7 linked regions of the Callithrix jacchus genome follow. The protein of the gene in region 7 interacts with the protein of the main gene of each other region in a pairwise test. Links are inferred from orthologs where the notes say so. Each region holds a gene or a part of one and is shown on either strand. Other genes may lie near its edges.

What was found.
Region 1: the proteins of TNIK (region 7) and SRGAP3 interact in a two-hybrid assay, tested with the Homo sapiens proteins (2 studies listed by BioGRID and IntAct). The link is inferred for Callithrix jacchus from reciprocal best matches to the Homo sapiens genes TNIK and SRGAP3.
Region 2: the proteins of TNIK (region 7) and PAFAH1B1 interact in a two-hybrid assay, tested with the Homo sapiens proteins (2 studies listed by BioGRID and IntAct). The link is inferred for Callithrix jacchus from reciprocal best matches to the Homo sapiens genes TNIK and PAFAH1B1.
Region 3: the proteins of TNIK (region 7) and AGTPBP1 interact in a two-hybrid assay, tested with the Homo sapiens proteins (2 studies listed by BioGRID and IntAct). The link is inferred for Callithrix jacchus from reciprocal best matches to the Homo sapiens genes TNIK and AGTPBP1.
Region 4: the proteins of TNIK (region 7) and HARS1 interact in a two-hybrid assay, tested with the Homo sapiens proteins (2 studies listed by BioGRID and IntAct). The link is inferred for Callithrix jacchus from reciprocal best matches to the Homo sapiens genes TNIK and HARS1.
Region 5: the proteins of TNIK (region 7) and DPYSL3 interact in a two-hybrid assay, tested with the Homo sapiens proteins (2 studies listed by BioGRID and IntAct). The link is inferred for Callithrix jacchus from reciprocal best matches to the Homo sapiens genes TNIK and DPYSL3.
Region 6: the proteins of TNIK (region 7) and ACTG1 interact in a two-hybrid assay, tested with the Homo sapiens proteins (2 studies listed by BioGRID and IntAct). The link is inferred for Callithrix jacchus from reciprocal best matches to the Homo sapiens genes TNIK and ACTG1.

What each region holds. Positions count from the first base shown.
Region 1 is NC_133516.1:66,218,394-66,221,893, forward strand, and holds part of SRGAP3 (SLIT-ROBO Rho GTPase-activating protein 3), read right to left. Parts: intron 670-3,500; coding exon 535-669; intron 1-534. UniProt on the Homo sapiens protein: GTPase-activating protein for RAC1 and perhaps Cdc42, but not for RhoA small GTPase. May attenuate RAC1 signaling in neurons.
Region 2 is NC_133506.1:65,660,552-65,664,661, reverse strand, and holds the start of PAFAH1B1 (platelet-activating factor acetylhydrolase IB subunit beta), read left to right. Parts: upstream 1-1,310; 5' UTR 1,311-1,661; exon of another isoform or gene 1,662-2,313; intron 2,314-2,487; exon of another isoform or gene 2,488-2,536; intron 2,537-3,078; exon of another isoform or gene 3,079-3,132; intron 3,133-4,110. UniProt on the Homo sapiens protein: Regulatory subunit (beta subunit) of the cytosolic type I platelet-activating factor (PAF) acetylhydrolase (PAF-AH (I)), an enzyme that catalyzes the hydrolyze of the acetyl group at the sn-2 position of PAF and its analogs and participates in PAF inactivation.
Region 3 is NC_133502.1:97,423,272-97,426,771, reverse strand, and holds part of AGTPBP1 (cytosolic carboxypeptidase 1), read right to left. Parts: coding exon 3,489-3,500; intron 1,885-3,488; coding exon 1,753-1,884; intron 1-1,752. UniProt on the Homo sapiens protein: Metallocarboxypeptidase that mediates protein deglutamylation of tubulin and non-tubulin target proteins.
Region 4 is NC_133503.1:39,057,980-39,061,951, forward strand, and holds the start of HARS1 (histidine--tRNA ligase, cytoplasmic), read right to left. Parts: upstream 2,801-3,972; 5' UTR 2,728-2,800; coding exon 2,638-2,727; intron 2,369-2,637; coding exon 2,279-2,368; intron 1-2,278. Other genes in the region: HARS2 (histidine--tRNA ligase, mitochondrial), read left to right, coding at 3,072-3,179. UniProt on the Homo sapiens protein: Catalyzes the ATP-dependent ligation of histidine to the 3'-end of its cognate tRNA, via the formation of an aminoacyl-adenylate intermediate (His-AMP). Plays a role in axon guidance.
Region 5 is NC_133503.1:46,031,269-46,035,540, forward strand, and holds the start of DPYSL3 (dihydropyrimidinase-related protein 3), read right to left. Parts: upstream 2,801-4,272; 5' UTR 2,558-2,800; coding exon 2,177-2,557; intron 1-2,176.
Region 6 is NC_133506.1:137,174,493-137,178,750, forward strand, and holds the start of ACTG1 (actin, cytoplasmic 2), read right to left. Parts: upstream 2,801-4,258; 5' UTR 2,732-2,800; intron 2,353-2,731; 5' UTR 2,347-2,352; coding exon 2,224-2,346; intron 2,136-2,223; coding exon 1,896-2,135; intron 1,622-1,895; coding exon 1,183-1,621; intron 1,101-1,182; coding exon 919-1,100; intron 827-918; coding exon 683-826; 3' UTR 1-682. UniProt on the Homo sapiens protein: Actins are highly conserved proteins that are involved in various types of cell motility and are ubiquitously expressed in all eukaryotic cells.
Region 7 is NC_133518.1:15,936,465-15,939,964, reverse strand, and holds part of TNIK (TRAF2 and NCK-interacting protein kinase), read right to left. Parts: intron 1,197-3,500; coding exon 1,032-1,196; intron 1-1,031. UniProt on the Homo sapiens protein: Serine/threonine kinase that acts as an essential activator of the Wnt signaling pathway. Recruited to promoters of Wnt target genes and required to activate their expression. May act by phosphorylating TCF4/TCF7L2.

The sequences.
Region 1 (3,500 bases), on a different chromosome or scaffold from region 7:
ATCAGCCCCCTAGACTGGGTTCCTCCTGATTTTATCCACAGAAACACAACAGTTGCTTACCATTAACTAGCAATGTCAGTGAAAATCCCCAGTCAACTTACTTTCACCATTTCCCTTGCTGGTCATGCTGCTGACCTGACCTCTAAACTTTCCATGGCTCCCCTTCACCCAAGGGGAAAAGCTCTGGAATGTTAGCAAGGCATTCAAGGTCTTCCCCATCTTGCTCCATTTTCCCCTTCCAGCCTCTAGCACCATGCATGGAACACTCTGCTCCCAGCACTCTTTTGGCTCTGATCTATGAAACCAAGTGTTCCTCTGGTTGTCCTCTGAGCTTCTTCTCTACCCAGGGTATGTGCCACAACCATGAGCCCTTTCATTATAAACTAGCTTATTATTTCCACTTTCAGCTATAAGGATGCAGGCTACACTTTTTCATAATATTCCCCCTCTATGCCTAGCACAGCAATGGGCCTGTGGCTCAACTCCAACAATGATTTGTCAAAGAACTGATCATTTAACCTGGGAAATACTTACTAATAGTAGATATCAAATCTTGAAACCTTTCCTTAGGAAAGAGTGGGTTTTCCAGTCCTCGGAAATACAGTTTTAAAACACCAGCGACTGAATTGATATCTCGTTCATTTTGATCGTCCACAAGGGGGTCTTCACCTGAGTGGAAACAAGAGAGGAGGTGATGTCTCAGCTTGGGAAGGAGTCAGAGAGCATCAGATGGCAGAAGAGATGGCCTGGCCCAGCCCAAACCACCGGAACGGCAGATGGGAGAAGCCTTCCCCACATATGAGACCCCCTTCAGCAAGTTTAAAGTTCTCCCTGCAACTCCTTAATTGGCAGCACGCCCCCGCAAAAAGAAAAAAAAAACCAAAATGTTCAAATCTATAAAGTTGTAAAAAATAAAATAATGAACACCCATCACCCTTCACTTACACTCATCTTGCCATATTTGATTTCTCATTCTTTCTGTATTTATATTTATTGTTGCTCCACTATTTGAGATTATTCTGTAGACATCAAAACACACCACTGCTAACTACTTCAACACTCTTCTAAGAATAAGGATATTCACCTACGTAACCACAATATTATTACACCTAAGAAAATTAACCATTGAAAAATAACATCTCATAGACAGCCTACAATTCAGATATCCCCAGTTGTCCCACGGTATCTTTTACAGAATTTGTTCAAAAGCCAAGGTCTAATCAATGTTCACACAATTAATTTGGTGGTTACATTTCTTGAGTCCTTTAAGTGTAAAACACACCCTGATATTTTTGCATGCTAGTTTGTGTTTTATAATATCGGCTCTTTCTGAAGAGCCCTAGCCAGTTGTCTTATAGAATGCCTCACACTCCAGATGTGTTGTCTCATAATTAGATTATAATTCAATATTTTTGGCAGGAACACTATATGGGTGATGTTACAAACACCTTAATGCATCCCATTAGCAGGCACATACATCAGACTGTCCCGCTGCTGGTGATGCCAGCCTTGATCACTGGGTTAAGGTGGTGGCCTCCGGATCTCTACATTATAAAGGTATTTTCCCTCACTTTGTAATAAGTATGATCCATGAAATGATACTCAAAGTGTCATGATACTTTGAGACCATGTGCCTGTAGTGCCCAACATGTTTCACCCAATGGTTTTAGCATCCAGTGATGATTTTTGCAACCAGCAATGATTTCTGCCCAAATTAATTGTTCCACTGGGGGTCACAACATGGTGATTTTCTAATTGTGTCATTTCTTCTCTGTGTATCAGCAGGAATTCTTTTATAAAGAAGAGCTGTCCTCATGTCACCCACCCTCACTCCCTTATTGTTAATATTTCTATACACTTGTTTTTGTAATTTTTAACTTAATTGTGATTATCCATTACCATCACCGTTTTTTGGAATACTTAAATTGTCCCAAATTTAGCCAGGAAGTATAATTTCTTGTGTCCTTTTAATGTGACCTTCATTGAGCACTTCCTTGCTTTCTGGACACAAAAAAGCCACCAATTACTTTTTACTTTCCTTTATCCAGCTCCAGAATCAAACGTTTCTTCAACAAGCTCTGTTTGCTTTTCGTAGAGAATCATAAAGAGACATCAAGATCTAGGTACTAGGTGTGCTCATTGCTGCAGAGGCGTCATAACGAGATTCTTTCAGTGGATAGAATTAGAATTTTTTTTCTTAAGTTCATACTGATTTTTTTTTTTTTTTTTGGGAGGGAAGGAGGAAGGGAGGAAGGCAGGAAGGGAGGGAAGGAGGAAGGGAGGGAGGAAGGAAGGGATGAAGGAAGGAAGGGAGGAAGGGGGGAGGAAGGGAGGGAAAGGAAAGAAGGAATTCAAGCAATGAGAGAGACATTGCCAACTTGGATCTAGAGGTTTACAAGTTGATTTCTCTTTTTGAGAGAAGGAAAGAAAAAAAATGAGTAAAGGAGAGAAAGAAAGAGGAAGAGAGAGAGGGAGGGTGAATGGAAATATTGCTTTATTCTGAAAAAAAAATGGGTATTAATAATGGCCAATCAATGTTTCATTTAAACCTATGAGTACATGTGATGTGGTATTGACAAGAATGTATATTTTATGTATTTGAAGTGGAGAGCTCTATAAATATTTATTAAGTTTACTTGTTCCAGATCTGAGTTCGAGTCCTTGATATCCTTATTAATTTTCTGTCTCATTGAATCTAAGTCTCTATGTATCTGGGTGTTAGGATTGTTAGCTCTTGTTGTTGTATTGATCCTTTTACCACTATATCTTTGTTGCTTTAAAATCTATTTTATCCGCTATGAGAATTGCAACTCCTGCTTTTTATTTATTTATTTATTTATTTTTGCTCTCCATTTGGTTGGTAAATCTTTCTCCATTCCTTTGTTTTGAGTCTTTGTGTATCCTTGCATGTGAAACAGGTCTGGATGTAACATGCCGTTGGGTTTTGGCTGTGTCTTTTGATTGGGGGATTTAGTCGATTTAAATTTAGGGCTACTGTCATTTGATGTTAACTGGCTGTTTTATCCATTCGTTGGTGTAAATTCTTCTTTATGTTGGTGCTCTTTACTTTTTGGTATATTTTTAGAAGGGCTGATACTGGTTGTTTCTTTCTGTGTGTAATGCTTCTTTCAGAAGCTCTTGTAAAGCAGGCCTGGTGGTAATAAAATCTCTTTGAGTACTTGCTTGTTCATAAAAGATTTTATTTTTCCTTCAGTTGTGAAGCTTAGTTTGGCTGGATATGAAATTCTGGGCTGAAGGTTCTGTTATTTGAGGATGTTGAATATTGGCCCCCACTCTCTTCTGGCTTGTAGAGTTTCTGCTGAGAGATCTGCTGTAAGTCTGATAGGCTTGCCTTTGTGGGTAACCTGACCTTTCTCTCTGGCTGCCCTTAGTATTTTCTCCTTCGTTTCAACCCTGGTGAATCTAATGATTATGTGCCTTGGGGTTGCTCTTCTTGAGGAATATCTTCGTGGTGTTCTCTGTATTACCTGGGGTTGAAT
Region 2 (4,110 bases), on a different chromosome or scaffold from region 7:
TAAATTGTCTCTTTCATTAACTCTGCTGCTTCTCAAATGCAGTATATATATATATTTACCTACATAAAGTGGAGCAATAAAATCAGTACATATAAGCTTAAGCCCGTTTCAAGAAAAGAGCTCCCTTGGACAATACAAATTAATGACGAGATAAGCTCATTTGAAACCTCTTTTTAAAATAATAGCGCATATTGAATTATTCAGAACCCCAAATCTCACTGTTTAAAAATCAAGGGTCACCTGGCGCTGTGTCTCAGGCCTGTAATGCCAGACCTCACCTGAGGTCAGGGGTTTCAGACCAGCCTGGCCAACATGGTGAAATCCCGTCTCTAGTAAAAATACAAAAATTAGCCGAGAGTGGTGGCGCGTGCCTATAATCCCAACTACTCGGGAAGTTGAGGCAGGAGAATCGATTGAACTCAGGAGGCGGAGGGTGCAGTGAGCCGATATCGCGCCGCCGCACTCCAGCCTGGGCGACAGAAGAGACTCCGTCTCAAAAAAAAAAAAAAAAATCAAGGGTCTCTATGTGGAATAAATTACTAATCCCCAAGACGACTGTCATCAGTAGTTCAATCCATAATTTAGCAACCTCACACAGACATCCCTCACAGGGATAAAGTTCCAGGCCTTTCTTTGGGCATCGGTTTCCAGACCTGGAGAGACTCTGGTGTGTGTGTGACTAAGGAGAATAGCTGAATCACATCTAAAAGCGAGTCCTCCCAATTAAGAATCTATAATAAAAATGAAGACAATGATAGCATTCCATCTGCCTTTTAACCTCGACAGTTCTTCCTCCCAAGCCAACAAGCCTACTCCCCTCCCTCATTCCCCCCGCAAACTGGGAAATTATCTCCGAGGCCCGAGGCAGAGGGGCGGTAAGGTGGCCGGGCCCCGCTGCCTCTCCCGCCTCCCGAGGCTCGCTCCGCACGGTGCCAGCGGGTCCCCGCGGTCGGCCGCAAGGTCGCAAAAGCGGGGGGGGGGCGGGGAGGTGAGGAGGGCCAGAGTTCAGATGGGGCCACAGGTCAGAGGAGGGGCTGGGAAAAAGGAGCCTTCCCAAGGTTACCGAAGCGTGCGGACCGCGAAAAGCGCGCAGACTCGCCGCTGGCCCGGGGGCACTGAGTAGCCGCCCGCCCGCTAGAAGGCAGCGCTGCCCCGGCCCGGCCCAGCCCCGCGCATGCGCTGCAGCCCCTCCTCCGCTCCCGGCGCCCGCCCCTCCCGCTTCCTGGCGGGTCTGGGGCGGCGGCGGCGGCGGCGGCGGTGGCGGCTGCGGCGGCGCGGTGACGTCAGGGCGTTGGGGCAGCTCCTGTGACAGACGGAGCTGGAGCAGTGGGGCGGCGGCGGAGTCCGGCGGCCGGGAGGGCGAGTGAGCGAGCGGAGGAGCGGTGACCCGGAGGTCTAGGGAGCGAGAAGGAAAAGGAGGGGAGCGCTCCGGCGCGAGCGAGAGAAACCGCGAGCGCCGAGCTTAGGCTCGAGCCCCGGAACGGCTGAGGAGCCCGCCCGCTCCCCTCCCCTCCCCCTCCCCGGGCCCGGGCCCAGCGCGCCATCCTCCCCTCCTCCTTCCCTCCCTCCCTCCTCCCTCCCCCCCTCCCTCCCCCTCCCCCGCCGGTGGATGGGAGTGAAGGACGGAAGAGGCCCTGCGGAGGCGGCGGTGCAGCGCTCCGGTAAGGCGGCGCGGGTTTGCGCCCTCATCTGTCTCCTCCACCGCACCCAGGCTGCTGCGGGCCGGGCCCGGCGGCCTGACGATGTGGCTGCGCGGGTCCCCTCCCTCCCATTCTCCCCTCCCCCTGCCGCCGCCGCCGCCGCCTCCTCCTTCTTCTTCTCTCATCGCTCTCAAAATGGCGGCCGCGACGGCCGTTGAGTGAGAGACCCGGAGGAGGGGGATTGGCCGGGGAGGGCGCTGCCCTCGCTCCTCTCCGCCGGGGCCCGGCCCTGGGGGCTGCCCGCGCCGCTGCGACCCTCCCGCGGCCCTCCGCATGAAGGGATCGTCCTCCTCCCTCAGTGACTTAGCAAGAAAAGTATTCTTGGGTAGGAAGGGCGTGGGGAGCAGGTCGCTCTCTGATCTCGGGGAAGGGGATCGGCTTCGCTCTCCCCGGTCGCGGAGGCGAGCTCCGCAGTCCCCACCCCACCCTCCGTGGTCGGCTCGGGGACCGGCTCTGCGCCGCGCCGCCGGGGCACCCACCGGGCCTTCCAGGCGTTCCGTCCCCCACCCGTCCTTAGGATGGGGTTGAGCAGCGGAGGGTGGCCCACAGTCTCCCTGGCCCCCAGAGCTGTGGTCCAGCCTCAGCACCCGCCAAGGAGTGGCAGCCCTGCCCGCTGAGCAATCCGCAGCATCCACCCACCAAATCTGGCAGGATTTTCTTTCTGCCACCGGCTCCTCGAACGGGAGTTGCCTTTTGATACTGTTAACATTGAGCTTCGAGGCCCTCTGCCATTCCCCTTCATCTCATCCCTGCCCCTATGGGAAACGCAGTGCCTGGGTATATTTACCTTCTTTAACCTCCCGGGTGAGAAAATGCCTTTGAGGTGGTCGGCACATTTTGACGCTTAGAGACATAACAGTAGAGTGCAAAAGGTTTTCAGTATTTAGTAGGAGAGAGCAAGTTATCTTAGCTTTATTTGATATGCTGCCTTTTTTCAGTGACTTAGCAAGAAACTCCTCGGGAAGAGGGCAGGAAATTTTGTTTTGGGGTTTGGACCCAATTTATATCAATCTTTTGGTTAAGAAAATACGCCTTTGAAGAGGAGGACCAGATTTGTGGTTTCGTTCTCAATGGGCGATGTCATGCCAAGGTTCCCCCTCAGTCTTTCCTTAAGTGGCAGTCCGGACAAATGGAGATATTACTGTGATTCCCACTTCTCCTTTAAGAGCCCAGTCTTTGAGATTCATAACGTTTTAAAGGCCAATTTGTGCCAATCTTGGCAATTCTATTTTTGTTGGGGGAGGGTGGGTTATTTTGTGTGATTTTATTTTTGAGGCCAGAGCGGAGGAGACAGTGTTTGGGCCTTCTATACCTGTAATAATGCCATCCCTCCCTTTTTGCCACAGCAGTGTTTCTTTTCTTTTCTTTTTTGCTGCAGCGGGGCCTGATTGCTGCGGGGTCCAGTCTCATAATGAGGAAAATTTCCTGTTGAGTATGTCATCATAGTGATGTTGAATGTATATAAAAGCTTTTACTTAAAAAATTCTGATACGGTTTTAAGGCATTAGCTAGCTTTTAATCTCTAATGGGTGTCTTTTAGGACACAGTTTCACAAAATAATTGGCAGTTGCAAATTGCAGTTTTTAATAAAGCACAAGAGTAATCTGTATTTAGGGCGATTTCTTTCGTGTTCATTAATGATCATTGTTTGGATTGTTCAGAATGGGTGGAATCTCCTAAAAGAAATTTAAGGCTGGTATATATTTTTTGAAAATCGGAAAGAAACCCAGTTTTTTACATAAAGTACTTCTGTATATGTTGATTTTGATGGAGCAAACCCTGTGTTGGTACCTCCCCCTACTTCCTTTTAAAAAAAATGGGCTAATGTTTGTGGATGCTGTGAACAGCCATTGAGCAGAGAAGACTGGGTGGAGTAAGGGAGCAGAAGCTGTGAAATGCTAGATTGCCCTTTCACAGCGTCTTTCTCTTGCTTAGGTTTTATAAGGTTATTTGATATGAATGGTTGCTATAACTAAGTCATTTTTCTGTAGTAAATTTTAAAATCTAATGTTTTCTACCTTTTTTGCATGATGGGTATTGAATGATTGGGTTAAAAAGCAGTGTCCCTGCTTTAATACAGACACTTATTGTCTCTGTATTTGTCCGTGTGTCTCTGTCTATATATATTAATATATATAGGCACACACACATATGTCTACACTCTCATTAATGTTTTTTATTGTTCTAGTCATATCAGTATAAATTAATTAATGTCAGAACTATTTGCTAAGAATTAGTAGGAGGTATAGGAATACTGCAAAATTCTAAAAAAAAAAAAAAAAAAACCAAAAAACTACAGTTTTCTTCTACTTAAAACAGTAAATCTGTTTAAGGTTTTAAAATAATGAACATAAAATATGAGAAAAAAAGGATAAGATAATTTGCATTAAAGGCCCTTTAAACCTTTTTT
Region 3 (3,500 bases), on a different chromosome or scaffold from region 7:
TCTGTCTGCTATTCATCCATCAACCCACCTAACAACAAATACCTATTGAGTACTTATTATGAATAAGGTATTGTGCTATATAGTGGCAATATTGACAAAATGAGCAAATCAGACATATTTGCTAGGCATATGGAGTTTACTACCTAGTACAAAGAGAACCCCATTAATCAAATAACATAGAAAATCTTACAATTATAATTCTTAAGTGGTAAAAGGATAGATAATCCTATAGATGTATGATCTGATTTCATTTTGGGGCCTAAGTGAGAACTCCTTGAAGTGAAGTATGACACAAGCAAAAACGACCAGGTGAGGCAATGGTGGCAATGATGGCGCTGTTCCAGAGAGAGTCTATGGGAAGGCTCTGTGCATGTGCTCTTCATCTAGCTTTCTCCCATTCTCTGGGCCTCTCGCTAGTCTCATTTTCTTACATTTATTTATCTGGATCTCGACTAAATAGTCCCCTTCACTGTATCACTGAGCTGTGCTAATCTACTTGGTTTCCTTTATTTAGTGCAGTCTAACCTAATAAAACTCTATTTCTGAAGGTTGTATGGCAGGAACACTTGTTGACTGTTGACATGTTGGGCATTTTACATACATTATTGGGGTCTTCCCCCATCTTTATCCTGGGCTTTGTCTCTCTCTTGAACTTAATTTCTGTATGCCTTCCTCTTTCATATATTCCTTTATTTTGGTAAGAATGTCTTCCAGAAGCTTCCAAAGAAAGGCTATTTGTGAGGTAAATTTTTGAGACTTTAAATGTCTGAGAACATCCTTTTTTATTTTCACACTTACTGACAGAATGAAGTATGAAATTTATAGGTTGGAAATCTAGTTGAGAATTGTGAAGATTTGCACCACAAAGTTTTGCTTCCAGTGTTGCCACTGTGAAATGTGATGCCATTCTTATATGTAATCCTCTGTAGAAGAATCTGAAAAATGTGTAGAAATCTTTTCTGAAAAAAAAAAAATCAATAGCTTTTCTATGTACCAACAATGATCAATTAGGGGCAGGCAGATATGTGGGGAAAAATTCCATTCCAAACTCTAATAGAATTCATAAAGTATTTGGGAATAAATCTAACAAACATTTCACACCTATGTGAAAAAATTTTATACTTTATTAAATATAAGACTTGACTAGACACATAGGCAGTAGTCACAGATGACAATGTTATATATCATTATAATAATTCCAACTTTAGATTCAAGGCAGCTCTAATGCAAATTCCAAAAAAGTTTATCCACAAACGGATCCTAAAATTCACAAGTACAGAGAAAAAAAGAGTCAAACAATTTTTAAAAGAATAAGAAAGGAAAATTTGCCCTACAATATATCAACATTAATTATAAATCTACAGTAATTTTAAAAATGTTGTTTGCAAAGAGACAGAAACAAGAATGGCTAAAATAATAGCCTCGCCATACACCCATATATGTGAAATAAGGTATGTAACAGATGGCATCATCAAATTGACAGAGGAAGAGATACTATCCAGTTAATGGTGCAAGCCAACTGGTATTCATAGAGAAAACAGAATTAGATCCCCACATCTCACACAAAGATGAATTCCAAGTAGATGAAAAATATGAACATGAAAAACTTTTAAAATGAAAAATCTGAAACAAAAATGGCAAAATGTCAACATTTACTGAATCTGAGTAGTTCATATATGTTAATATATGTATTTTCTATACTTTTATGCATGTTTAAAATTCAAAAAGTCATGAATGATCTATAATAATTACCCTGTATCCCGTATCTTCCACAACATCACATGAAGTTGCATTATCATTGGTACGCCACACTGTCTCCTTGATGCTGCAACCATACATAAATACATTCTTCTTTCGGGAATGGCCATGATAATCACAATAAACCTTGAAAATACGTGTTTTAAAAATTAAAAGACTTCCTTATATTACTAAGTCAAGGTAGTTAATATCAAGCCAATAAACATGTAGGTCTGTGTTCCTTGGTCTTTTTATTGTAAATAAACATGTCTTTTATTTTTTATTTTTTTAAAAATGATACTCTTAAAAATTAAATTAAAACCATACCCTTCTTTACGGTGTTTTTTAATAAATAAGGGCATTTTCTTGTTTTTTTTTTTTTTTTCTGTTGTGGTTTTTAAATTTCTTTTGTTGTTGTTTCTTGTAAAAGAGCCACCATTTAACAATTATGACCAATAAAAGTGATAATGCCTATTAATGCCTAGTTTGGGAAAGGATCTATAATTAATTCTAGAATTGCCAAATCCTTTAAAGGTCCTATATCACCTTTGTATTTACTATTCACCATTTTAAAAATAATACATTTCATTATAGTTCAAATCTACAGCTGTGGTGACTGCTGCCCCAAATGGTTATAAAAACATTTACCTAATTTAGTCTGGAGCAGTGCCTCACGCCTGTAATCCCAACACTTTGGGAGGCCAAGGTGGGTGGATCACCAGAAGTTAGGAGCTCAATGCCAGCCTGACCAACATGGCAAAACCCCATCTATACTAAAAATATAAAAATTAGCCAGGAGTGGTTGTGGGTGCCTGTAATTCCAGCTACTTGGGAGACGGAGGCAAGAGAATAGCTTGACCCTGGGAGGTGGAGGCCAAGGTGGGTGGATCACCAGAAGTTAGGAGTTCAATGCCAGCCTGACCAACATGGCAAAACCCCATCTATACTAAAAATATAAAAATTAGCCAGGAGTGGTTGTGGGTGCCTGTAATTCCAGCTACTTGGGAGACGGAGGCAAGAGAATAGCTTGACCCTGGGAGGTGTAGGTTGCAGTGAGCCGAGATCATGCCAATGCACTCCAATCTGGGCAACAAGAGCAAAAATTTGTCTCAAAAAAAATTTTTTTGATTTAAAAGCGAATAATAACAACAACAACAACAACAACAACAACAAAAACTAGAAAATGCTCTTATTTATTAAAAAACACCATAAAGAAGGGTATGGCTTTAAGAGCATCATTTTTAAAAAAATAAAAACTAAAAGACATGTCAATTTTACTCCTCTGCAAAGCCTTTCTTTCTTAAAGAAAGATTAAATAATATACATACTAATATCATGAAAACATCCTAATCAAAAGCTGGTGAGAACAGAAAAAGCATATGTATATAGTTCAGTTCAGTCATGCCTGTACTACATTTCCCATTTGTGTAGTAGAGATTTAACAGCTTCAGAGCTGACTAGAAAACTCAGAATAAGCTCCTAGTTTGAGAATTTGAAGATACATATTGTTACCTTAGTGTTGTTCAAGCAGTGAAATTAAGTATCTAAAACCAAGAGTTATCAATATTCATAACCAAAAAAGAAAAGTAAAAGGCTTATATAAGAGAATTATAAACATTCACCCTTGTAAAATTAAGAATACAAACATTAATGGATGAATCTGACCCCACGATTATTACACAAGTACTTGATAACAAAAAATGACATTTTATCTTTGACTATACCAAGTAAAAACAAGTAATGCTACTTACCAAAGGTAAACG
Region 4 (3,972 bases), on a different chromosome or scaffold from region 7:
CATCTCTAGTATTTCCTGTAAATTGATAGTTAGTCCAAAGATCTGATTAGAGTCAAGTTCAATTTACTTGGCAAGAGTACTTCATAGGTGGTGCCGTGTACTTCTTATTGCATTACAGCAGCAGGAACATCTGGTTGTCCTACTTTTAGTGATGTTGACACTGATCACTGGTGAGGACAGACTGATCCATCATAAATTCCACAATAAGCTTTTCATATAATACTTTGAATAATCACTGAGCATTACCACTTTCGGATTTTACACTCTCTTTAACCTTCAAAAATAAGTTATATGTAGAAAGAAAAGGCTCAATGAATTTAGGAACCCAAAGAATTAATCTTAACAAAAGAAAGACCATCTCCCCTCTCCTTTGGAATTCAATTTCAAATACATTTATGAAATTCAGTCATCCCTTAGTATCCAGAGGAGATTGGTTCTAGGCCCCATGTGGATACCAAAATCCATGGATGCTCAAGCTGCTGATATAAAATTATATGCACATCCTCCTGTATACTTTAAATAGTCTCTAGCTTATTTATAATACCTTAGACAATGTAAATGCTATATAAATAGTTGTTATACTGTACTTTTTATTTGAAATTTTTTACTGTTACATTAGATTTGAAAAGTTTTTTTTTTTTTGGCTGGGCCAGTGGCTCATGCCTGTAATCCCAGCACTTTGGGAGGCTGAGGCGGGCAGATCACCTGAGGTTGGGAGTTCGAGACCAGTCTGACCAACATGGAGAAACCATGTCTCTACTAAAAATACAAAATTAGCTGGGCATGGTGGTGCATGCCTATAATCCCAGCTACGTGAGAGGCTGAGGCAGGAGAATCGCTTGAACCTGGGAGGTGGAGATTGTGGTGAGCCAAGATCATGCCATTGCACTCTAGCCTGGGCAACAAGAGTGAAACTTCGTCTAAAAAAAAAAAAACCCCAAAAAACCACACCTTTTTCTTTTTTGTGTAAAGATAGGGTCTTGCTACGTTGCTCAAGCTGGTCTCAAACTCCTGGGCTCAAGTGATCCTCCCCTCTCGGCCTTCCAAAGTAGTGGGATTACAGGTGTGAGCCACCACACTCAGCTAGATTTCTTTTTTAATTTGTTTCTTTCCCCCGAATGGTTTTGATCCACGGTTGGTTGAATTTATGAATGTGGGACCCTGGGATATGGAGGGCTGACTATACTATTTAGGCACCTAGTCTCAGCCTCAGGGTAAATAAACCACATAAATAACTACTTAAAGTTGGTGCAATAACAGAAGTATGTATGAAGTGCCAAGAGAACCCAGATGAAGGGGTAAACAATTCTGTTTACAGAGCTTACAGAAAGTGGAACTGAACTGGAAGATAAGCTAAGAATCTCCAATCTCATTCCACTCTACTCTCCTTTACCTAGTTCTAGCCATATAGATCATCCTCTAGTTCCTCAAAACCACCAAAGTTCTTTCCCGCTTCAGGGTTTCCATACTCTACATGGACCTATCTTTGTCACACTTTCTCTTGCTATTTCCTACTCATCCATTATATCAGTTAGTTTATCACTTCCTCAGTTAGCCTTTCTCAGATTCCCCAGTTCTCCCTTATTTTTCTCAGAGCAACCTTGTTAATTTCTTTATATCATTTTTCACAATATGTAATTACTTATCCATTGTATGCAGGCAGATCACTTAAGGTAAGGAGGTCAAGACCAGCCTGACCAGTATGATGAAACCCCATCTCTACTAAAAATACAAAAATTAGCCTGGCATGGTGTGGGCACCTGTAGTCCCAGCTACTCAGGAGGCTGAAGCAGGAGAATTGCTTGAACCCAGGAGGCAGAGGCTGCAGTGAGCCAAGATTGTGGGCACTGCACTCCAGCCTGGGTAATAGAGGGTACTCCCTCTCAAAAAAAAAAAAAAAAAAAAAATCCATGTGTGGGATTATTTATTCTAAGTCTCTCTCCTTCAGTAGAATGTAAGCTCCATGAGGGTAGGCTATATTGTCCTCCATGGTATATTCAGTGCTTTGTACAGTGCTAGAGACATAGTAAGCAGTAAATACGTATTTACCGAACGAATGAAGGAGTAGCAGCAGTAGGCTGACTCCCCTTATCACCAAGCTGGCCTACTTTCTGGCATTACTTTGCCATCCCAGAATGACTCAGGTAGAGTCCAGTACAGCCCAGTGCCCAGAGCAACTGTCCTCTCCTCTGCAGTATTTCAGATTCTCCTCAATGGCCTGGTTTAGGGAGGCAGAATTAGAGACCCTCTCAGTGGCTCCCTACAGGAATGATATTACCTTGGGGGTTTTGAGCACAAACTTCTGTTTGCTTTCATCAGGACCCAGCTGTGCCTTCAGTTTCAGCAGTTTTGCCACCTCCTCCTCGATCTGTGGAAGGAAACAAGGCGCTGGGCTATCCATCTGTCACTCTCCTCCCTCCCCCTCCCATTCATTCAATATTCCTTCCTCATCAGAATCTCTCTGCTCAGGCCTAGCTTTGTTTCTCTCGGGACCCACCCCGGATGCCTCCCCACGCAGCCCACCCTCCTCCCTACAAGCCTGGTCCTTTCCCTCATATCCCTGTCCTATATCCCGAACATCCTGGCTCTACATCCTCTCAGGCTTTGCCGAGGCCCTCTCCCTGCTGCTTGTCTCACCAGCTCGGCGCTGGCTTTCTGCTGTTTGAGGCCTCGCACGCGCTCTCCCTGAAGTTTCACCAGCTCCTCCAGTGCCGCACGCTCTGCCATCCCGTCTACCCACTTGAGCCGACTGCTGCCTAGCCCTGCTGTGGCGGCTTCAGCCTCAGCAAGGATGACTTCCGGCTATCGAGTCGCAGGCTCGCATGCCTAGAGAGCCTCCGTTGAGCGCAAAAATTATTTCCGTCTCCTACAGGAAGTGCCGTAGCTGGCTACTAAGGTAACTTGGGAGGCTCAGAGCTTAGCTTTCGTGACTGGTGAGGTGCGCGAACGCTCGAGGTGTCCCAGGTGCCCGGGTTTCGTCTTTGCAGCGCCCTGCACCCTTCCTAGAGTCCGACCCGCCTCCTTCCAAGACCTTTTGTTCCTGTCCCGGAAATCCGGAGTCCTGCCGCGCGATGCCCCAGCTCGGACTTCTACCCAGGAGGGCCTGGGCTGCGCTGCTCAGCCAGCTTCTGCGACCGCCCTGCGCTTCGTGCACCCGGGCGGTCCGTTGCCACAGCCAGGTGAGCGAGACAGAATTATCTGTGGTCTGTCCCAGCGGGGCCTCCAGATCTGAAAGCGTAGACTTGTGGCCTGTAATCCAGTAGCGTTGCAGTCGGTTTTTATCGAGTGCCTACTATGTACTGACACCAAACTAAAAGATATGGGTGCCTGGTCATTTAATCCTTGCAGCAGTCTTGAGAGGTCGGAGATTTTATTTCCATTCTGCAGATGAGGAAACGGAGGCTGCAAGATTAAATGAATGATTTATACACGGATATGTAGGAAGGGTGTATTTTAATTCATATCCAGGCTCTTTTTCCTGAAACTCTTCGACTCAAACAGTAATTTTTTTTTTTTGGAGACGGAGTTTCGCTCTTGTTACCCAGGCTGGAGTGCAATGGCGCGATCTCGGCTCACCGCAACCTCCGCCTCCTGGGTTCAGGCAATTCTCCTGCCTCAGCCTCCTGAGTAGCTGGGATTACAGGCACGCGCCATCACGCCCAGCTAATTTTTTGTATTTTTAGTAGAGACGGGGTTTCACCATGTTGACCAGAATGGTCTCGATCTCTTGACCTCGTGATCCACCCGCCTCGGCCTCCCAAAGTGCTGGGATTACAGGGGTGAGCCACCACGCCCGGCTCAAACAGTAATATTTTTAAGCAAAATGTATGAATATTCCTAATAAATAAGATGACTAAAGACCACAAGTAGACTGAGTTCACCTTAGAATTTACCTCAAAATGAATCTCAGAAAAACATTTTCGGATTTCAGAGATTTTTGGATTTTGGAATTGCAGATAAGGGATTATGGAC
Region 5 (4,272 bases), on a different chromosome or scaffold from region 7:
GCTTAATTTTTTTTTTTTAAGTAAAGTCCAAAAAGTTCCTTCATGAAGAAGTGAGCTCCCTGACAACAGTGGTATTTAAACAGAGGCCAGATGATCCTTTTACCATCTATGCGGAAAAAGACATGGCTAATTAAAGAGTTTAGTTTATCAAATATTTATTGAACACCTCCAGTGTGCCAAGCATTCTAGCCACACACATAAATCCAAATATACAATCTCTACCCTGAAGGAAATAAACAAATTCAGAACTTGATAACCTCTGTGGTCTCTTCTGACAGTATGATTCAATCAAATTAGAGATAATAACACGGCCTGGACGAAGCAGACTGCAAGCCCAAACTTACAAATAACTATATAGCACTAGCAATCCTGCTGGTGCCTAGGTTGTATTATTGTTTCTCAATTAGTAGCCAAAAGTATAGGGTTTGCAAAAGGGAAGAAAACGGGAGAATTGCTAGGTTTAAAGGAGGAATATTTTCCCTTTCTCTAGTTACCATTCTTAAATTTTGCAAACCCAGCATATTATCTGGCTTACATCAGGGGTGTTTCAGCAAAGGGAATAGCACTGACTCACAGCAATTGTTACCGACCTTTTCCATCACTACTCCCGCCCCTGGCAGTCAGGAAGGGAACATTTCAATATGGATCAAGTCAGACATGAAGAACAGGAATAACCTTTCTATAGAGCTCTTCTTCAGTTTAGCTATCAACCCAAACATTTGCAAAATATCAGAAGTGTTCCCTAAAATGTTAGTAAACAAGAGCTCAGGGGAATCCCACACTCAAAGGATGATGTGAAAATCACAAGCTAGATGAGTGATTCCAGAGGAAACTGACATTGTTTCCCAAGTGGTACCCTTGAACAGCACTAACTTCAGTATTTATTTTCCCTGGTCATCTTGGTAGTTAAAGGTTGGTTGGTTGGTTGGTTGGTTGGTCAGCCGGTTGGTCGGTTGGTTGGTCTGTCGGTCTAAACTTTCAAAAATCAGACAGTGGAGAAAGATGTTGTCCTTTCATTAGCTCATTGCATTTTAATGGAAAACCAACTAAAACCTGGAGAAGCATTAACTGCAATTGCTCTGAGGCAGACATTTCCATTTCAGCTTATTATTTCTAACCATATTAGTGCAGAATAATACATGTGGATGGATTTTGAAGCTATTACCTAGACTAGGGTGAAGCATCTGATTACTATTATTCCCTATCTAAAAGCTTCAGTTTGAACTCTGAAGTCTGCAGCCCTGCCAGGTCCTGAATTTTCTGAACTACAACTCTGATTCTCTATGAAATAGACACAAAAATCAGGGCAAGCTAGATTTCAATGCCATCCCTCAGTCAGTTCAGTGTGACATAAGTTTCTCAAAAATACACATACAGAAGAAATTGGCTTTGGCACATTTAAGAGCAGCAGGGAATTTGCATCTCATGCTAGTTTAATGTGCACTCTTAATACTCTCGTCTATTTTCTAAAATATAATGCTATTCTTGCAGAGGCAGCTGGACCCCTGTATACCCGGTCTTGTGCCAAGCTATGTACACAAATACACTCTTTACAAACACAGATGCGAAATGCCGTGCTAAGACATAAGCGAGGCATAGAGAGATATTCGAGTGTTTAGTCTAGAGGCTCCACACCTAAAAGTTTCAGGAGCAGAGCTGATGTTTGAAGAGTGAGAGGGGAGACCGCTCATCCTGTACTTTCATCCGGGGACTATGGAGATGACCCCATATTCCCAGCATCACTTTGCCCTCTGCCCTGGTGACCCGGGTTGAGATTTAATCTAGGGCCAGAGCGGGGGGCAAGGCAATTGTGCTGTTGGTTACTCACACAGAGAGAAGAGCTGGAAATCACTAAGCTTTCCCGGGCTGACACACCCACCCAGAACGGATGGCCCAGGGGTGCGGAGAGGAGGCAGGGGTAAAGGACGCGGCGCCAGGCAGGGGGACCCGGGCATCCTTTCCGCGCTTGCACGAAGATGCTGCAAGTGGCTACACGCGTGAATCCAGCGTCTGAGCTAGGAAGTCGCGCTACGCTCAGTGGCGAATGCCCCTTTCCTCCTCCTGGTCCCCCCAGCCCTGTGCAAAGTGAGCTGGAGAAAGTTGTGCCCGGGCCATGGCGGCCGGGGCTGGAGAAAGGAACCAAGGCAAGCAGGGAAGTGACCCAGGGTCCCCTTACCTTGTCCTTGGGGCCGAGGTTCTGTAACACCTCTTTGCCGGTGGCGCTCCGGATCTCCACCCCGGCGGGCGCGGAGGACGCGGGCGCGGGCTCCCTGATCTCTTCCCGGCCTTGGCCCCTGCGCGGGGTGTCCCCCTCGATGCCGGGCCGGCTTCCCGAGCCTCGGTCGCTGCCCTGGCCGCTCCGAGGGGTCTTCGCGCCCCGCTGCCCCACGCTCAGGGCATCGAAATCCAGCGTCTTGCTCTCGAAGGCGCCCTCCACGTTGCAGAACATGCCGCCGTATTTCTGCCGCGGGACCTGGTCCGTGGTGCCCGGCCTGGCCAGGTACACGGGCAGATCGTCTTCGTGGGAGCTGTCCCAGCCCCTCCGGCCCGAGGCCATGGTTCAAGCGCGAAAACGGCCCGCGGGTTTTTCTTCCCCAGAGGCGGAAAGGGCAGCCGCCGGCAGCGTGCGCCGAGCCACAGTGACTGGGGCGGGAGGAGGCGCCTGAGCCTTCGCGCCAGAGGCGGCAGTGCTGCTCCGATTCCTGCCTGTCCCCAGCGAGCCAGCGAGCCACACAGCCAGCTAGCGCTAGGCGCAGGGGCCCGGAGGAGCGGCGCGCTCGGCTCGCTCGCGGGACCTCTCGGCCGGCCGCACCTCCTCACGCACCCCCAACCCTAACGTGGCCTCCCGGGCTGACGCAGCGTCGGTGCCCATCACAAACACAAACCAAACTTGGCGCGCGCGCACACGCACACACAGGCGCACACTGCCCGCTCGCGCAGCAGCCTCGCTTCACACACTGACTCGCCATTCAGACGCCTTAGAAATGTTCACGCTCAGGAACTTGACTGTCTCACCCCCACTGACTCCCTAGTTTGCCTCACGTTCGCCTCACAAACACAAAGCTTTAGGTCGCCCCTCATGCACAAAAACAATGCTGACCCAGGTGGATTCATCTCAAAGCCAAGTCCTGATCTACAAGTAACACATGAAAACTCAAATTTACGACAGACTCACAATCCTACCCAGAACCCCGGACGTGCCTCATCCTCATCTTTAAGATTACACTCACAATTACACCCAGTTCCAGGATCAGCCTTGAGAACCCACACCCTCACATAAAGTCCTGAATTGGTTTGCACACACAACACAAGCACACTGAGAGAGAGGCCCTCTTCCTTCCCTTTGACTCACATGAGCCCTTTCTTAGTTTGTATATAATATCGTAGCTTTTGCTTTTACCACCCCTAATTTGCCTCACACACAATGACATTTCAGATCACAGACACACACACACACATTCTTAGACTTTGCCCTGCAAATCACTCTTCATTAATGCTCTGTCCCTCAAACAACCACCCCCACATTTTAATCTCACACGCTGACACAGCCCAGGTTTACCTCAGTCAGAACCTACACTTAGATTCACACCCAAGCCCGGATTTACTTCAAAATTACACAACCAAACACTTGGCTTTTCATATTACCTCACACACAGGCAGACTTTCTTATGTACATCTGTGCTTTCATATCTCATCCTCTCCTCCACATCTACCACGTATACTCTGACCCAGACTTTGCCACATAAACAGAGTCCACAAACTACACACCTTACATCATATCCACACACACATCCTAAACCCAAAACCTGTGGTGCTGGATTTACTGGGTCCCCTCTCAGAAAGTCCACCCATTCATTTATTTAGTCAGCCAACATAAATCAGGTACCTAATATGCCTTTCACAAGGTACTGGAGTGACGGGGTCGAACAAGGAAGATGGGCCTGTCCTCACCACAAATGTATAACCACACATCTAGGTAGCACAGTCTGCTCTGCTCAACATACTGAACTTAGTATATTTTGTGAGCCAGACACTCCCCCTCCCAAGCACAGACACACACACACTAAACTCCAAGAAGGCAGAGCTCTGGTCTGTTCAGTTCACCTTTGTATATCTTGTGACCAGAACATCTACAGGCACTTGATAACATTCTTTTTTTTTTTTTTTTTTTTGAGACGGAGTTTCGCTCTTGTTACCCAGGCTGGAGTGCAATGGCGCGATCTCGGCTCACCGCAACCTCCGCCTCCTGGGTTCAGGCAATTCTCCTGCCTC
Region 6 (4,258 bases), on a different chromosome or scaffold from region 7:
CTTCACACAATGACGTGTTGCTGGGGCCTAATGTTCTCACATAACAGTAGAAAACCGAAATTTGTTGTCATCTCTTTCAAGATTTGACAGTTGTGTACAATAAAAAAAAAACCTTACATAAATTAAAAGGATGAATACATTTACAGGTGTAAATGAAAACCGCTTCCAACTCAAGGCAAGTAACAGCCCATGGTGCTCTGGCAGGAAAACATCAGGTAAGAAAGGAGACCGGGTCCTATGGCTTGGACTTTCCCACCCTGACAGACTGGCAGCCCTTGCCAGCCTCTAGAGCAATCCCAGAACACTAAGCTCTGACACATGAATACCCTGCTCAACTAAGAGACTGCTGGCCATGCACTCACCAAGGCAGACTTGTCTGCCCCCAAGCACATTTTTACCTCAGCCACGAAGTGACCAAGCCACATGTACTAAAAGTTGAAATCTGCTATGTACAGGGTATTAAACAAATAAGGGGAACAATTAACTTGAATACAAGGTCAAAATCAGCAACAAGTTCTACAATCCAGTGCTGATATCAGATACAAGCTTCAAGGACAATTTCTTTTCAAAGGCTTATTCCAGTTTCATGAGGCTAGCATGAGGTGTATGCATTTGCCAGGGGCAAATTTATACTTCCGAATTAACCCATGCAGCAAATGCTACGCATCTGCTCGCAGTCCATTTAGAAGCATTTGCGGTGGACGATGGAGGGGCCAGACTCATCGTACTCCTGCTTGCTAATCCACATCTGTTGGAAGGTGGACAGTGAGGCCAGGATGGAGCCGCCGATCCACACGGAGTACTTACGCTCTGGGGGTGCAATGATCTGCAAAGACAGCCAGGCATGGCTTGAGTTCACACAGCATCCCCAGCCAGGCATCCTGAGCCAGGCCGAGGGCCACCGATCCCTTAACTCACCTTGATCTTCATGGTGCTGGGCGCAAGAGCAGTGATCTCCTTCTGCATCCTGTCGGCGATGCCTGGGTACATGGTGGTGCCGCCAGACAGCACAGTGTTGGCGTACAGGTCTTTGCGGATGTCCACATCACACTTCATGATGGAGTTGAAGGTGGTCTCATGGATGCCACAAGATTCCATGCCTAGGGGACAAAGCCCTCCCTTAGTGGTGCTATGGTGCCCAGAATCAAAGCGCTCTCAGAAGCCCTTAGACTGAACACCTACCAAGAAAAGAAGGCTGGAACAGCGCCTCCGGACACCGGAACCGCTCGTTACCAATGGTGATGACCTGGCCGTCAGGCAGCTCATAGCTCTTCTCCAGAGAGGAGGAGGATGCAGCTGTGGCCATCTCCTGCTCGAAGTCCAGGGCGACATAGCACAGCTTCTCCTTGATGTCGCGTACGATCTCCCGCTCGGCCGTGGTGGTGAAGCTGTAGCCGCGCTCCGTGAGGATCTTCATGAGGTAGTCGGTCAGGTCCCGGCCAGCCAGGTCCAGACGCAGGATAGCGTGTGGAAGGGCATAGCCCTCATAAATGGGCACCGTGTGGGTTACCCCGTCTCCAGAGTCCATGACAATACCAGTGGTGCGCCCAGAGGCGTAGAGGGACAGCACGGCCTGGATAGCCACGTACATGGCTGGGGTGTTGAAGGTCTCAAACATGATCTGAAGGTAGAAGACGAGACGGCTTAGTCAGGGGCAAGGACCCGCGACCACCCCATGCTCACACGCCACAACATGCTGCATGCCAGTGTGATGTGTGGAGAACAGAAAAGAACGCAGGCAGAAACCAAATAAGAAACCTGGAGGCTTCAGGGAGGAAATGCCGGGAGAGGAACAGAGCCTGGAACAGCGAAAGAAACACTTAAATGTCAGAAATCAAGCTGGGCAGAAAATGACTAGGAAAACGGACGAGAGCACGGGCATCGCCGAGCCTCACCTGAGTCATCTTCTCTCTGTTGGCCTTGGGGTTCAGGGGGGCCTCGGTCAGCAGCACGGGGTGCTCCTCCGGGGCCACACGCAACTCATTGTAAAAAGTGTGGTGCCAGATTTTCTCCATATCATCCCAATTGGTGACGATGCCGTGCTCGATGGGGTACTTCAGGGTCAGGATGCCGCGCTTGCTCTGGGCCTCGTCGCCCACGTAGGAGTCCTTCTGGCCCATGCCGACCATCACGCCCTGCAGGGAGTTGCCATCAGGCTCGCCGCGGCCCCCGATCCCATCCCGCAGCGCAGAACCCAGGAGCCCCGTGGCGCCCTCCACTCACCTGGTGCCGAGGGCGCCCGACAATGGAGGGAAACACGGCTCGGGGGGCGTCGTCCCCAGCAAAGCCAGCTTTGCACATGCCGGAACCATTGTCGATGACGAGCGCAGCAATTTCTTCTTCCATTGCGACCTGCCAGGAAAGCGACGGACTCAGGCGGGGCCCGCTGGAAAACAACCCCGCCACCCAGAGCCAACCAAGACCCTCCGGCGGAGGAGCGTTACGCTCCACCCCAACCCCGGAAGCCGAAGCCTCCAACACCACAACAGCTTTGAACCAGCACCCGTGCCTTTTACGTAAAGCCCACCGCCCCGAACTCCGCACTGCGGCCGGGCCCCGCCCTAAACCTACGGCATCCGCCCAACGGTACCCGCGTGGCCCACCCAGGCGGAGCCAGCCTTTTGTTCCCGAAAACGACGCGGCGAAGCGTCCGCGGCGGAAAGCGGGGCCCGCGGGGGTCGAGGGGGGACGGCCAGAAACATCCTCCTCGGGTCCGATGAGGAGCGCTTACCAGCAGAGGAGCAGGGGAGCGGAGCAGCAAGAGAACACCGTACGCGACCTGGCAGCGGCGACTGAGACCGACTGGGGCCTCCCGCGCCGCTTTTTAAGAGAAAGCAGCGCGCCCGCGCGGCCCGGCGGCGCGCGCGGCCCCAGAACATGTCCATATATGGCGATCTTTCCGAAAGCCGGGCGCTCATTGGCCCGCCCGGCCTGGTCACGTGGGGCCCCGGTCCGCCCCGCCCCCAGCCCGCACCACCTCCCACCGGCACCGCCTGCGCCACCCCCGCGCGCTCGCGACACTGGGGCTGGCGAGGGGGGCTGGGTGGGGTCTCCCTCCCGGGGTCGCTCGGAAGGCCGAAGGGCTGACGGGCCTGGCTGCGACCCGGGACTGCCGTGTGGGGAGGGCCGGGCTGCGCCCCGAAACTGCCTGACCCGGGGCGGGGCCATGCGGGAGCTGGGGTGGGTCCCCGCGGTCCGGGCCACGCTGCGGGGCTTTGCTCCCCGGGACGTCCCCTGCGGGCTTTCCCTTCGGGCTCCACGCCCGGGCCGGGCTGGGGGAGGGGCGCGGCGGGGATCCCCGGCGCTCGGCGTTTCTAGGTGCGGGGGAGCCCTCACCTCGCCCCGGTCACCATAGGAAGAAGCCTCCCGTCCCCGAACGCAGCCACTACCCCACAGGTCCCTCCACGGGGCGCCCCGCCCCGGGTCTCCGTGGGTTTGGAGCCCGATACCCCTTTCTACCCGAGCCGACACATCCCTGTCCCTGAAATCACAGGCCCGGTTTGCCCCAGGCGCAGGCTCCGGGTAGGGGCTATCCCGCCCCCTATCTGCTGAGTAGGCGGTGCGCAGCGAGGCCTTTGTTTCATGCTGCTCACCTGTAGACATTATAGGGAAACTGAGGTAGAGACCATAATCTTGACTTTCTTGAAGGTCGGCTCCCCAGTCTGGGGAGGCCGCGGGGAATCCCCTCCCTGTTTTCGAGGCCAGTTAAAGGCAGGGGGTCAGGGCTGGCGTGGGTTTGGGCACAGGCTGGCTGGTCCCGGGCGCGCACGCCTCGCTTGGAGACTCGGCGGGAAGACCTGTCATCCCCGGCACCGGCCTGGCCGCACCTGCTAGCGCGGTGCTTCGGTTACACCCCGCGGGGCTCCCGGCGCTACGGTTTCCGTGTGTGCTGTGGAATTTTCAGGATGAGAGTGCCGGCCACGGAGGGGCAGTGGGGCGGCGCAGTGAGGCGACGACTCGGCCAAGGTCGCAGACCGTTCAGCTGTACTCGACAGGCTGGGGGGCGGGACCGAGGTCCCCACGCGGAGTCCCGCGCCCTGAGCCCTGCAAAGTGAGCTTCAGACGCGGTGTTTGGGAGTCGGGCCCAGCTCACCTGCGGGCTGCAGTCACCCCGGACCCCGAGACCTGTGCCTAAGACCTCGGTATCCCAGGCCTCCCGGGGGTGCTCAGCCCCACAGGCACAGACTCCGGGGACCGGGCAAGCTTCTCAGGTGTGTGCCTTACCGGGGCGAAACCGGGGCTGAGCCCCCAACAAACA
Region 7 (3,500 bases):
GTTAGACATGAAAGAATGATATACAAATGTAAAATAACCGAGAGGAAGATATGCCAAGCCGGCTGGTGCTGAAAAATCTTGGACTTCATTTATTAAAGGCAAACTTAAAACACTAAGAATACTTGGTTTTATCACTACTCTTTTAACTCCAGTTCAAACAGCATTGCATATTTCAAAGGTGACCCTGAAAAGTTTCATGGAAATCTTAACACAAGTGGATGCCTGGAAGAAATGTAAGACATTTGGCAGAAGAAACTATATTATTTTTATTTTTCATGGAATTCCATAATCTATTTCACTTCATATTTCATTTTAGCATCTATAACTTCAAAGTCCTGTAGCGCTTCCGGAAACTCCATCCTTTCCTAAAAGTGGAGTAATCTTTTTTCTTTACCGTATAGCTTTAAATAGTCATTCTCAAAATCCAAAGTACATTAGAATCACTTAGAGGGCTTGTTAAATCAGACTGCCAGCCCTCCCCCACCCACAGATCAGTTGGTCTGAAGTGGGCCCAATAATCTGCATTTCTATCAAGTTCCTGAGTGAGACTTGATGCTGCTGGTCCATTGATTACATTTTGAGAACCACTGGCTTAGAAGATGTCATTTTATTTAACCAAGTCCATTTAATTTTTCCAGCTTCAGGCTCATGTCAAAGTCCCAAGAAAATGAAATCTTATACGTATAGATACAGTGTACATATACACACACCTCAAAGCTCTCTATGAATTCTAGTTTTCATAATTGTAACTAAAAGGATGCTTGTTCTTATTTTGCAGAAACTCCTACGGGTCCCCAGGGAGGCCAATTTACATAGAAGTGAGTTTACAGTTGCCTCAAGTTTAAGGGTGATGCTTTTTACTTTCTTACCTTTTCTTCTATTCTTCAATATTGGTGAGTATAAAAATTATATATTAAGGGTCATAATTTGATTGTCCTATGCCTGAATCCATGTCACAATTCCCTAGGCTTTTAGTAGGTTTTCTTGTGTACCCTATTGGTATGCCTGATGGAATGGAGGAGAGATTATACCTGGGGATCGACTGGTCTGAGCATCGGGGGTGTCCGAGCAGGCTGAACTCCACTAATGCTGAAGGACTCCGACCTTGGGGGCAGACTGGGGTCAGATATTCTGTTGGCAACCTTGTGAGGCATGGCGGGGGAACTTTGCCGGTTGAGCCTTGACCGTTCTTCTACCTACAAGCCAAAAAAGAGACAGCCTCAATGTGTAGAAGTAGATCCACCTTCTAGCAAGGATTTTCTGTAGTCACCTGCACAGCCATTTGAATCCTCTGATCAACTGATTTTAAGGAGCCAAAACTCTCCATTTCTGCTCTGCATCAAGAATTTGCAAAGAGCAAACACTGGCAACAACAACAAAAATGTAGAACACCCAGGCCACCACTCTTTGCTTAACCCATTATCTTGTGTTGTTCCGTTAGCAGGGAATTTGTGACCTGCTGAGAGTTTTTCTCGCATGGATTGTGATGTTATCTTACTGATTGGTCCTAATGCCATGGGGTCAGTGAGGGAGACAGTTTGCACTCTAGACAATCAAAGGGAATGGTAGCATGCATTTAGATGGCTTGGGGAACATTGAAAATTGCTTTGGGTTGACTCATGGGACATGAGAGGAAGAACAAGAGGTTGAAGCTGAGAACATGCACCCTCCGTTTCTTCACGTGTCCTACTGATAGGCAACTGGGGGCTCCAGGCTGCCTAATTAATGAGCGTGGCCTGTTTAGAATAGACTTCCTGTGTCACTTTCTTTTTCTCTCTTTAAGGGTCTTTCTTCCCAGTTGTCTTTCCTGCTTCCTCAAATACAATGGCCCCTGTCATTCTTTCATGCCCTGCTTGGACTGCACTGTCTCGCTCTCCCCTCTCTTCCTCCCTGTTTCTACACATGTGGTGTTCATTCCTGCTTCCCCTCTAACCCTGCTTCTCTCAGGCTATTTCACTTCCTCGTCATTCCCCTCCTTCCAGAGTCTCTTTCAGCCCAAAGCAGGTAACAGGTCCCAAGTGCCTCATGGGCAGTGCTCACAGAACTAGTGAATGCTCTTTTTAAACAGGTAATCATTACCCTTAGTACATATTTACAGCAGAAAGACTGTCGTGGAGGACAGTTTTAAAGAGGAATTTAGATAAACAAGATGCACACTATAAGATACAGCTTAAGATCTTAGACAACTTTAAAAATTCTGTGACTTTTCTTCCAGATCAACTGTGTCCTGTCCTTGATTTCTTGAGGACCAGTTTGACTGTTGTGCTTCCCAAAGCCACCAGGACAATGCAACCATTCTCCCCACATGCATGGCCTGAATTCTCTTCTGCTGACTCACTGTCTGAGCATTTTAAGAGCCCCCATGCAGGTGTTCAATATTCATGTCTGTTTGCATATTTCTTATGTAGCAGCTAAAAATCTTTATTCATTTTACTGCCTGATTTGAAATAAAAATTTGAAAGAGCTATTTTCCCTCATCCTCCCTATCCAATTTTGAATTTTTCTAGAGGCAGACTCAATCAAATATACAAAGCAAGTCTGTTTTCAAACTCATATTAATCTCACGTATTTTAACACAATAAGAGGAGCTACAGAATGAAGAACAGCCCTCTTGCCTCTACTGAGGAGTAATTTGAACATCTATTCCCCCACCATGGCTGTGCAGGGTACATACAATTGGCATCTAGCTGACTTCGGTTTTGAAATCCCATGCCCCAGAAGCTTACCCCTCGCCAAATAAGATTTGCTGCAAAAAGCCAGGAATATAAACCAGACCATGTATACTTTGTGTGTGCATGTGTGCAAAGTATTACATCAGCAATAGTTATTTGGCTATTGCACTGAGCAAAAGAACAAAGCCAGCCTTGAGATAAGACGTCCCACAAAGACAGCAATAGATAACTGAGATCAAGGCATGCAATAGATCACTTTTTCAAATGCCAAACTCTTTGAAAGAAGGTTAATGTTTCTAGACCACTGGCATTGGTCAGATATTATCCATTTTCTTATTTTCAGAGTTAATCATTAATAGAGAAATCACACACAAGCATCCTTCAGTGTCCGAACCCTCACTATGCAAACCAACTACCTGTCACCCAAAATTCAGGAACCAAATATATGCTGAGTGAGGAATACTTGTAATTATTAGTTTGGGCTCTAAAACACACTAATGGCTTTAAATATACATTAAGGGACAGTATATTAAAAGCAATAGTAGAAAAGTTTGCCCCCGAAAACTCTATCTTGAGCAAAAAAACCATTTTTGAGATAAAGAATTCTTTTGGTAAGTATCAGCGTCAAGGCTCCAGTCAAAGCATCCCTGCTGCTAACAGGACCACAGGCCACACGGGCCCTAAAGCCATCATTAGAAATGAACAGGGCAGAAATTAGGGTACTGGTTTTCATAGGCAATTAATGGATTTTATTAGTTATGTATAGATGTTGCTAATGTACTTCTAGTAAAAGTCTCTTATGCTTTCTAACAGTTAGTTTACATAGTA